3 linked regions of the Arabidopsis thaliana genome follow. The protein of the gene in region 1 purifies or fractionates together with the protein of each later gene. This does not show direct contact. Each region holds a gene or a part of one and is shown in the gene's direction. Other genes may lie near its edges.

What was found.
Region 2: the proteins of AT5G63370 (region 1) and AT3G24690 purify together in Arabidopsis thaliana (affinity purification with mass spectrometry, with the first as the bait; one large-scale study listed by BioGRID). This does not show direct contact.
Region 3: the proteins of AT5G63370 (region 1) and AT1G29220 purify together in Arabidopsis thaliana (affinity purification with mass spectrometry, with the first as the bait; one large-scale study listed by BioGRID). This does not show direct contact.

Annotation. Positions count from the first base shown.
Region 1 is NC_003076.8:25,385,341-25,389,100, reverse strand, and holds the start of AT5G63370 (Protein kinase superfamily protein), read left to right. Parts: upstream 1-1,839; 5' UTR 1,840-2,308; coding exon 2,309-3,760. Other genes in the region: AT5G63380 (AMP-dependent synthetase and ligase family protein), read left to right, coding at 1-130, 270-459, 826-971, 1,045-1,112, 1,186-1,288, 1,395-1,520. UniProt on the Arabidopsis thaliana protein: Cyclin-dependent kinase involved in pre-mRNA splicing. Required for the correct splicing of the sixth intron of CALS5 pre-mRNA. May stabilize the binding of U1 snRNP to this rare type of intron with a GC 5'SS.
Region 2 is NC_003074.8:9,018,839-9,022,011, forward strand, and holds AT3G24690 (uncharacterized protein), read left to right. Parts: upstream 1-1,812; 5' UTR 1,813-1,899; coding exon 1,900-2,169; intron 2,170-2,245; coding exon 2,246-2,452; 3' UTR 2,453-2,653; downstream 2,654-3,173.
Region 3 is NC_003070.9:10,210,862-10,214,621, reverse strand, and holds the start of AT1G29220 (transcriptional regulator family protein), read left to right. Parts: upstream 1-1,899; 5' UTR 1,900-2,050; coding exon 2,051-2,488; intron 2,489-2,682; coding exon 2,683-2,718; intron 2,719-2,814; coding exon 2,815-3,016; intron 3,017-3,248; coding exon 3,249-3,380; intron 3,381-3,463; coding exon 3,464-3,558; intron 3,559-3,658; coding exon 3,659-3,760.

The DNA of each region.
Region 1 (3,760 bases):
GGTCAAATCGGAGCTCACGAAGAAGTACGATCTCCGGTCGTTGCGTTCCCTTGGCTGCGGAGGAGCTCCACTCGGCAAAGACATCGCAGAGAGGTTTAAGCAGAAATTCCCAGATGTAGATATTGTACAGGTAATAACTGATAAGACAGTTAGTGTCAAAATATGACTTTGTATATAGGACTGTGTCCAGTTTCATGATACTTGGTTTTCATCAAGATTTTGAATCATTTATATGACTTTTAACTTTCTGGTTTGGTGATGGCTTACAGGGCTATGGCTTGACAGAGAGCTCGGGACCAGCTGCCTCAACGTTTGGACCTGAAGAGATGGTAAAATATGGCTCAGTTGGTCGTATCTCTGAGAATATGGAAGCCAAAATTGTTGATCCATCCACCGGAGAATCCTTGCCACCGGGAAAAACTGGTGAACTCTGGCTCCGAGGACCAGTCATCATGAAAGGTATCATAAAACATATGCAATAGTTGAGGAACATGCAATGTGCTGAGCTGGTGTAAACTAAATGACTTTGCATATAAGAATCTAGGACTGTCAAATTATATCAAGACTTTGACCATTAATGTGACTTTGCATATAAGAATCTAGGACTGTGTCAAATTAAATCGAGACTTGTGACTTTGCATAGAAGAATCTAGGACTGTGTAACAAATGCAATAGTTTGAGGAACATTCAAGAGCTTTCACTAAATGACTTAGCATATAAGAAGAAATCTAGGACTCAGTCGGATTTCATGATCCTTGAAGTCTAATGTCTTCATCAAGATTTTGATCATTGATGTGACTATAAACCTGTGATTAATGGGCACAGGTTATGTGGGAAACGAGAAAGCGAGTGCGGAGACAGTAGACAAAGAAGGGTGGTTAAAGACTGGTGATCTCTGTTATTTTGATTCGGAAGATTTTCTATATATTGTTGATCGGCTAAAGGAGCTAATCAAATACAAGGCTTATCAGGTAAATTTTACGAGTCAGAAGAAGAAGATATAGTCTTTAGAGTTTAATATTAATCAAAAGCGTCATCTTATAGGTTCCACCGGTAGAGTTGGAGCAGATTCTTCACTCGAATCCAGATGTGATTGATGCTGCAGTTGTTCCGTGAGTCTTTTAAACTCAAATTTGTAACTTCTTGAAATGTGTTTCTGATACTGACATGGATCATGAATTCAAGGTTCCCTGACGAGGATGCAGGAGAGATTCCAATGGCTTTCATAGTGAGAAAACCAGGAAGCAATCTCAACGAAGCGCAAATCATTGATTTCGTAGCTAAACAAGTAATGCTCATTGCTCTAGAATGTTGGTTATATTAATTTTTAGTACAAGTAGACAGAACAATTAGATTTGATGTTTTGGTTTGCTTATGTAACTATTTGTGTGTAGGTTACTCCGTACAAGAAGGTAAGACGAGTTGCTTTTATAAATGCAATCCCAAAAAATCCTGCTGGCAAGATTCTGCGTCGGGAGCTTACTAAAATCGCTGTGGATGGCAATGCATCAAAACTTTGAGATAACCGGCTGGTTCATATATTATTGTGTCGGTTTTCAGTGAAAATGGGATCTAATTACCGGTTCAGACGAAATGTAGCTTACATTCTTACTACACAAGATTTAATGTAATATTGACCGTTCGATTAACAACGTGAGTATTATTATTTATAGCATCGTCATTCGTCACCGTCACCGTCCAAACAATAAACGACTAGTTTCGTGTTCATTAATTAGATCCAACGGCTGTAATACGTAGCTCACGTTCTTTTGGTACACCCGCAAACATTAGATAAATCTGTGAAATAGAAAAGGGAATTATTGGAGCAGCCGACCTATTACGATTATAAAACAAAGGGTAAAGTAATAATAGAGCCACTTGACAAAATTGAAAAACGCGTCTCCGAGAGGAAAATTTAGAGAAAAGCTTCTCGCGATCGCATCGGGCTCGTAGATCGATCTCCTCCTCCATCCAATCTTCCGTTTTCGTATTCACCGTCCGGTAAGACCTTCCGGTACTTGTGAATCGGAGAAGAGGAAGGAGAAAAATTATCGCGTTCCTGGAAATTGAATTTCTAGGGTTTCGTTTTTTTCTGAATTATTCTGATTCTGATTTCGTCAAGGGTGTTTTTCTTAATTGGTTGATTGATCGTCTTTCTAGTTCAATTGTTGAAAAGTAATTGAACATCTATTGAAATCTGCTTCTCGTGATTTGATTCTGGGTTTCGTTGATTGGTTTTTTTCGAGGGGTTTGTTTGTTTTATCCTTTTTTATTTCTATAAGATCAATTTCTCATTGAGAAGAATACGATGGCAGCAGGGGGTGTTGATGTTTCCAGAAGTTCCGTTGCTGTCAAAAAAGACTACGACTTTTACAGGAATGGTTCTCGTGATGTGTATGTTCGACAGAGTGGTAGAGATGACGAGAGGCGTCAAATCAAAAGGCCTAGTGACCATGATCTCAGGAGGAATGATGGGCGTCACCGATCACGGTTGGCATATGAGAAAGGGGAACTACGGGAGGAAGCAGAGGTTCAGAGACCCTCTGAGAAAAGGAGGAAGTTTTCACCCATCGTGTGGAATGCAGAAAAAGTGGGTAGAGCTCCATCTAGGGAGAAGACCAAGTCTCCTTTCCCTGTTCCGACTACAACTGTGATATCCAATCAGGCTGTTGCTGGTAAGACTACTTCAAACGATCAAGTGAATGCCTTGATGTCGCCAGAACCTAGTTATCTTGCTCCAGTGCAGCCTTCAGAAGCCCTGCTGGCTGTGAAACATCCTGTTGATGATTTGGAGGAGGGTCAGTTGGAGGAAGAACAGGTGATGCAGGAGGATGTAAAGGAGGGTCTGTTGGAGGAAGAACAAGTGATGCAGGAACCAAATATAAAGACATCTAGGTGGGGGACAGGTTTGACTTCCCCAAAGGAGGAGTTAATATCTGTTAACGTTTCCAAGACTAATAGATGGAACAGGAGCAGTTTGACACCGGAGTGCGAGGAAGTAATGGTGTCTGAAGAACAGCAGTGCTATTCGTCTGGATCTGGCAGTGGACATCTCAGCGTAGAGAAGCTTAGTGCAGATGGAAATTCTGGTCGTGAGTATTATAGTTCTGATCATGATGAGTTAGAACATGAAGATCAAGATTCTTTAACTCCGGGAGAGATGAACATGATGTTTGGGAGCAGGTCTGTGAATGAATTTCAGAAGCTAAACAAGATAAATGAAGGAACATATGGAATTGTTTACAAAGCAAGGGATGAGAAAACAAAAGAGATTGTTGCGCTCAAAAAGATCAAGATGAAGGAAGATAGGTTCGAAGAAGAGTATGGATTCCCTTTGACATCATTGAGGGAAATTAACATACTTTTGTCATGCAATCACCCTGCGATTGTGAACGTGAAGGAGGTTGTGGTTGGAGGGAAAAACGATAATGATGTTTATATGGTCATGGAACACTTAGAACACGACCTGAGGGGAGTAATGGATAGAAGGAAGGAACCTTTTAGCACTAGCGAAGTCAAGTGCTTGATGATGCAGCTGTTGGATGGTTTGAAATACCTCCACACAAATTGGATTATCCACAGGGATCTGAAGCCATCTAATCTTCTGATGAACAATTGTGGGGAGTTAAAAATATGTGATTTTGGGATGGCGCGCCAGTATGGGAGCCCTATCAAGCCTTACACCCAGATGGTTATTACCCAGTGGTACAGGCCACCTGAACTTCTTCTAGGAGCAAAAGAGTACTCTACAGCAGTTGAT
Region 2 (3,173 bases), on another chromosome or scaffold:
TTCAGTGAAAAACTTAAATCCGTAACTTTTTCACAAAAATCGTGAATATAATTTTTTTCACCAAAATTGCAAATCCTCAAACAACATGAACATATATTTTCTCGCCCAAAAGTATATGTTATGTTGATAGTGATGATGATAATGTTATGATCTTAAAAGTATGATGATAATGGTAGTGTTAATGATGATGAAGATGCATTGTCATTATTTTTATGTTAATTATTACTTTAATGCGTCAATCTATTTAATCATTTAACCCATCAAATTAAATGGGGTTTTGGGTTAATCCAACTTAGTTGTTAAATGAATCGCGTTAACTCATGAACTCTAAACCCATTAGGTAATCAACCATGCCTCTTTTGCCGAGAACTAGATGAGTCATGGGATCACTTATTCTTCGTGCGCCGATACACGTTCACAATTTGGAGCGACATTGTCGGGAATTTGCTAGACGCTCAACCCGACCCGGATTGGGAACAAACATTACAATAGTTCAATAAAAACAGAGACTAGCTTAGCCACATCCTTCTCCGTTTAGCATTCCAAGCAACAATTTACTTTTTGTGGAGGGAGTGAAACTACCGGCGGCATGGAGCTACTCAACGTATGGTGACTCAATTGATTAGTATAATTGACAAAAACGGTTTGACGATGCGTAGTTTCACTTCGCTATCGAGACTCTCTGAATTTGAGACTACTTTTCCAAAAATGGTTTCAAGCTAGGGGAATCACATAATCTTGTTTTAGTTCTTACTCTTTTTCTTAAATAGTTTCCATGCTTTTGTTCATAAACTCTCTTTCTTTTTATCAGATAAATTTAACATTTCATGAAAACAAAAATGAGTTTAGTTGAATTAAGTTATCCATTTTCACACCCCTAGATATATAACTATCATGAATATTACAAAGAAAAACTAAAAATTATTAACTATTCATATTAAAACATCTTATATATTAACAAAAAAAATCTATCACAATATAGAAATTATAGATTATTGTTGTGATAATCAATTCATTTTCTAGATTTACCCTACTAAAGTTTTTCTGAACTGCGTATTTATATTAATTAAAATAATGGTCTCATATGTAATTTCAACATTTAAGATATTAAAGATGCTATAGTTTTATTATATATCATTAAATGTATATTATTACAATTCTGATATATAAAATATAATACTTCAATGAATATTAATGGTCTAATAAAATATTTACCAAAAATATAATAAAAAACACGTGTCGCATGGATCTAGTCTAAACATAGTAACTATTGTAAATCTTTTAAAAAACATAAAAAAAAATAAAAAATAAAGATTTTATTATTTTAATAAATTTTATAACTCATAACAAAAATAATTAATTCGCAAAGATATGGAAGAAGAAGATGCAATTATTATATATGAAAATAACTGTACAAATATCTATAATGATCTAAAATTATGTTAAAAAATACACGGGTCGCATGGGTATAAACCTTGAACTACTGTAAAGCTTTGAACAAACACATACATAAAAGTTGACAAAAAAAAAAAATTTAAAACCACATACATTTTTTTGTTTTTCTTATTTTAAGAAATTTTACAGTTAAAGGTAGACCATAATAAGTTTAACATTAATAAAAAATGTTTAAATTCACAAAGATATGGAAAAGATGCAATTATGATATATGGAAATAACTATACAAAGATCTAGGACGATCCAAAATATATTATAGAGATACACTAAACATTTGTCAATAACTAATATAGAGACCTAAAGTCTCCACTATATATATGTATGTAGTTCTAAGTTGTATCCCATCCCATATTCTAAGGAAAACAAAACCCTTACTTACTTTCTTGTTCTCTTTCTCCGCCGTGGTTATCTATCTCAGACGTTCTCATCGCTCATCTTGACATCATGGCCGCCGTAGAAGGACAAATCTCGGCTCTCATCAGCAAACGTCTCCGTACTCTCCGCAAGAAATACAACCGTATAACTGACATGGAAGAGTCGATTTCTCAGGGGAAAACACTAAACAAGGAACAAGAAGACACCCTCCGTTCAAAGCCAATCGTCTCCGCCCTTATCGATGAGCTCGTAAAGCTCCGCATTCCTCCTCCTTCTGCAGCCATTTCAGAAGAGACCAGCCCCCCTGCTAAGAACAAGAAACAGCAAAAGTTATCCCACGTAATTTTCTTTAGGGTTTTAGCCGCATGCCCGCATCGTATTATAGTAAAACTAAACCTAATATTTTCCTTCCTAGGCACGTAAGGAGGTAGCTGAGGAGGAAAACGTGACGGCCAAGACAGATATCGAGGATTGCAAGATCTCTGATGATGGTATCAATTCTGAGGTTTCCAAGGACGATACTTCTCCTAGTAGCGAAAGCTCACAAGGTGTTACGCCATCGCCGCTTAGCAGAAAGGCACGACGTAAACGGAACGCGAAGAAACCTCAAATTCCACAGTGATTGTGTCTCCAACTTCTGTGAGTAGCGGAAGTTTTGGCAAAGACAAAGTAAAAGGAATTGCTTTTGTCACAATTAGCTAGGGCTTTTTGCGTTTGAGCTTTTCCTTGACAAAAGCTATAAAACTCTTCCAAATCCATTGTTTAATTTCTTATATATCGAACTATGTCTCTAGTTGTAAATTCAAATTGAATATCATTAATATTGTTCTTGAGTCACTATTAGCTAATACAATAATTTGTTTTTAAAAATATAATTTTCTTTCACGTCACACCAATTTTTGGCATAGAATGTCATGAAGCCAGAAAAAACTCTTTTTTGAGGACAATATCAACAATTTGTAGCACTGTTTTTTTTAACCCTTTTTTAACGTCTTAAAAGAACTAACGTTTTGTATCTGAAAATTTTGCCTAATCTACGTGATCATATACAAATTTCTTCTGGTATGTGAATCCCTATGAGATATCACTAACTCTTTATGTAGTTCCTTGGTGAAGCAATGATGCGATATTTTGTTAATTGAGGTTAGTTGCAGAGATGGGTCATATTTTTAAAGTCATATTTTTCAACTAAAAAGGTAAAAAAAAACTCTTTTCCTTAAGAAAAAAGGTAAAAAATATCTCTTGGAATCACTTTCAGCAGCTTATTATAAAAAAAGTAGTATTTTTTCCAATAACAATAGATTTGATTTGAGTTTTACAAATTGTTGATTGAATATTGTGAA
Region 3 (3,760 bases), on another chromosome or scaffold:
ATTACATTGAAATGGTCTAATAGTCTTTATTGGAAAATTTAATATATCATTTGACTTCGAAATTATCATAAATCCGTTTTTTGTTTTGCCAGCATATTTACACGTGTTCTAATTAATTTTTATCATTATAGAGAAATATAAATGTTACCTAAACACGCTATATGCCTATTACCTATACAGTATACACCAAGACAACAACTTTAAAATAAAAATGGTTTTATTTTGAATATAATTTTAGTAGTATATTTATTCAGTGAGAAAATTAAATTTATTTCTAATGTTTGAATATTTAAAACTGTAGAAAATAAAATAAAGATATTGAAACTTATGATGGTGTCGTCTTCGTTATCACAGTACAATTTGCAATGAACAATGGGTTTTGTGATTTTCGCTATGATATTTCTACCTCCAGCAGTTTATTCAGTGCCAGATAATAGACAGAACTTATCAGTAGCAAAAGGAACCTGATCGATCAGCAGATCATAGATAGGTATTCATAAGAAGTTGCCATCGTATGACACGGTCACGCTTTACTGAGTTAAATTTTATTTCTTTTGTCATCACTTTTAAATAATATTTATAACTCTTTTCTTGTGACGACAACCTATATGAATCAGAAATGTAACGAATGGTATTGTGGGAACCAGGTGTTGCTGCGTTGGTGCTTACGTGAGTTCGTGGACTTCACATCGCCGACCAAATCCGAGTTCATTTTTCCTTACAATAATTCCAGTTCTTTCTATAATATTATTTCCAAAGTTATATCCAAATTTGGTTTTCTACCTTCTATATATAATTCTTTTTATCATGTTTTCTAAATGGAATATTCTTTTCTACACTAAAATCCAAATCACTAATAACATCATATATATATTCACATTAGTTTAGTTTTAATGAAATGTACACTATTTGAAAATCATCTAGTAAACACTACCCTAGTAACTGATATAAATAACTATCGACAATTTGCCACCAAATTAAAACTACCTTTTTCTTATAACCAACATATTAATTGGTGCATGTAGATGTTGATGTTATATAAAAATGACTAAGAAAAAAGATGTAATATCAACAAAAGAATATACATGTTTGAAATCGACTTGTGATTTGGACTAACAAAACAAATAGTTATCGAGTAAAAGTAAAACTAAGTCTTGTTGAATAGCTTATTATATGGGTTGCTATCATTTGATTATCTCAAGGAAGTGCTATTTATTTAACCCTATCCATAAGCACAAGGAAGAAACACATAAGCGAAAGTCACTACTAACTTCAAACGACTCTTTACAATCTATAAGAAAAGAAGAAATAGTTTTCTAGGTATGACTACGTAATTACTGAGTATATATTATACTTTGAAATTAAATTTATTCAAAATAAGGCTTTTAATTAATTTAACTTGTAACTTTTCATAGAAGCTACTGTTCATATTTTCTTTGCTAGTCTTAGGTCTATTATATTATTGACTCACAACTTAAAAACTAGAAAAAAATTGTATAAATAATAATTACAATTCAGGGCAATTTTGCTTAAGAACTAGACAAATGCAAGGTAGTATGAATTAAGTTGCAACCAATTGCAATGAAACAAACAAAATTTAACATATTTCTTCAAATTACTATTATATTTTTTTAAAAACTTTAGAATGTAAAGACATTAAATTGTAAACAAATAACAATTTTTTTCCTGTTTTATCATCTAGTTTTAGGAGTTTGTCTTACATTTGAAGATTAAAAAAAATATCCAAAAATTAAAAGCAATATCATATAGCAATCTCGCATTGTTTTGGACTCATTGCACAATAATTTTAGTTATTGGGCCTTTAGTAATAGATAAACGATCCAATTTATAACTACGTCGTTTTAAAAATATAACATCCCAACTGGGTTCTGATTCGGTGGATCCAAGTTCGGGTTGCAATTCGATTCAGAATCAAACCATTTTTGAAGAACCCTAAAAGTTCTCTTCTTCCCCCAAATTTGAATTTGTTCTTGCAATCGGATTCGAAATCCGAAAGTCTTAGTCTCGAATTTGAGCTCAACAGTTTCTTATGGCTCCGAAGAAGTCTGAAGGAATCGCTTTGCTTTCCGTTTACAGTGATGAAGATGACGAAGAGATGGAAGACGCCGAGGAAGAGGAAGAAGAGGATGAGAAGCAGAGAAATCAGGAAGAGAGTGAAAAAATAATTGAAGAAGATCAGGTAGAAGAAGCGAATTATATGGATGAAGAAGAGAAAGGAAGAGGAGGAGAAGATTCTAGAACGCCGAGGCTATTAGATGGTGTTGGAGCTTCTTCTAGTGCTCATGGGACTCCTCGTTCACTTGATAACGATGAATCATCGAGACCTGATTGGAGTAATCGAATGATTGGTGAGTCTGGAGTTGCGGATGGTGAGAGAGGTGATGATGCTTCAGGGGAAAGTAGTGATACGTTATTGGATCAGTTTCTTCCGCCAAGACCGAGAGAGAGGTGCTCTGAGGAGCTGCAAGTAAGTTTCCTGATGATGCTTCAATGTTCTAATTTTAAAAGTTTAGGTAGGCAAGAACTCATTGGTGTGTTGTTTGGAAATAGCAGTCTTCTAAACTGATTAGTTTGTGATTCTAAGCTGATTACTCATTGCTCTGAGGAGCTGCAAGTAAGTTTCCTGATGATGCTTCAATGTTATTTTGAAACATTAGGTAGGCAAGAACTCATTGGTGTGTTGTGTGGGGTCTCTTGGTACGTATGGTTGGAAATAGCAGTCTTCTAAGCTGATTAGTTTGTGATTCAGTTACAAGTTGGTCTGATATGTATTTTTTTTTGTTGTGTTTGTAGAGGAAAATAGATAAGTTTCTGAGCTTGAAAAAGATGGGGAAGAGTTTCAATTCAGAAGTGAGGAATAGGAAGGAATACAGGAATCCTGACTTCCTATTGCATGCTGTATCTTACCAAGACATTGACCAGATTGGTTCGTGTTTCAGTAAAGATGTATTTGATCCCAGTGGATATGACCCAAGTGACTTCTGTGATGCAATAGGTAACTCCACCTTTTTGTAGCTTCTTCGTTTTTTTCTTCTCTTTTCTTGTTTACTCTTGTCTCAGTAAGAAGCATCTTTGATATCTTTTGCTTATAATTTTGATACTCTGTTCAGTATCATGCACTCATTATTACTTTAGTAAATTATTGATGCTGGTCACTATTATTACTATATTCTGCGTTCTCCATATTTCATGATTTGTAATGATCCTTGTTTATGTGTTAATTACAGAAATCGACATGAAGAATGAGAGGGAAAGGAAGGAACAAGAAAGCAAGAAGAACCAGAAGCTTGACTTTGTTTCTGCTGGTACTCAACCTGGGGCGGTTTTCGCTGCTCAAAAGCCTAACATCCCCATTCCAGGTGTGTGAAAATGACTAGGTGTCTGATTGGTTAGTTATTTATCTCAGCTACATCTCTGCAAAATATGATGAATTTTTTTTCAGGTATTCCAGCTTTAGCTACTAGTGGATTGCCTTCCATACCAACCGAAATTGCTGCTCGTGATGGTAGACCGAACAAGAAATCCAAATGGGATAAGGTTTGTTATCAGATTTAAATATCTAGAATGTGACTATATGATGATTTTGGCATACTTAGTTCTTCGCTTATTTCATTTTATGTGTTTATGGTTAAATCAGGTTGATGGGGACGTAAAGAATCCTCCTCTAGCAGCTGGAACTCAGGATTCTATATCCTCAATCCGGTCTAATGCAGCTCTTGTATCTGCTACAAGTGCTGGT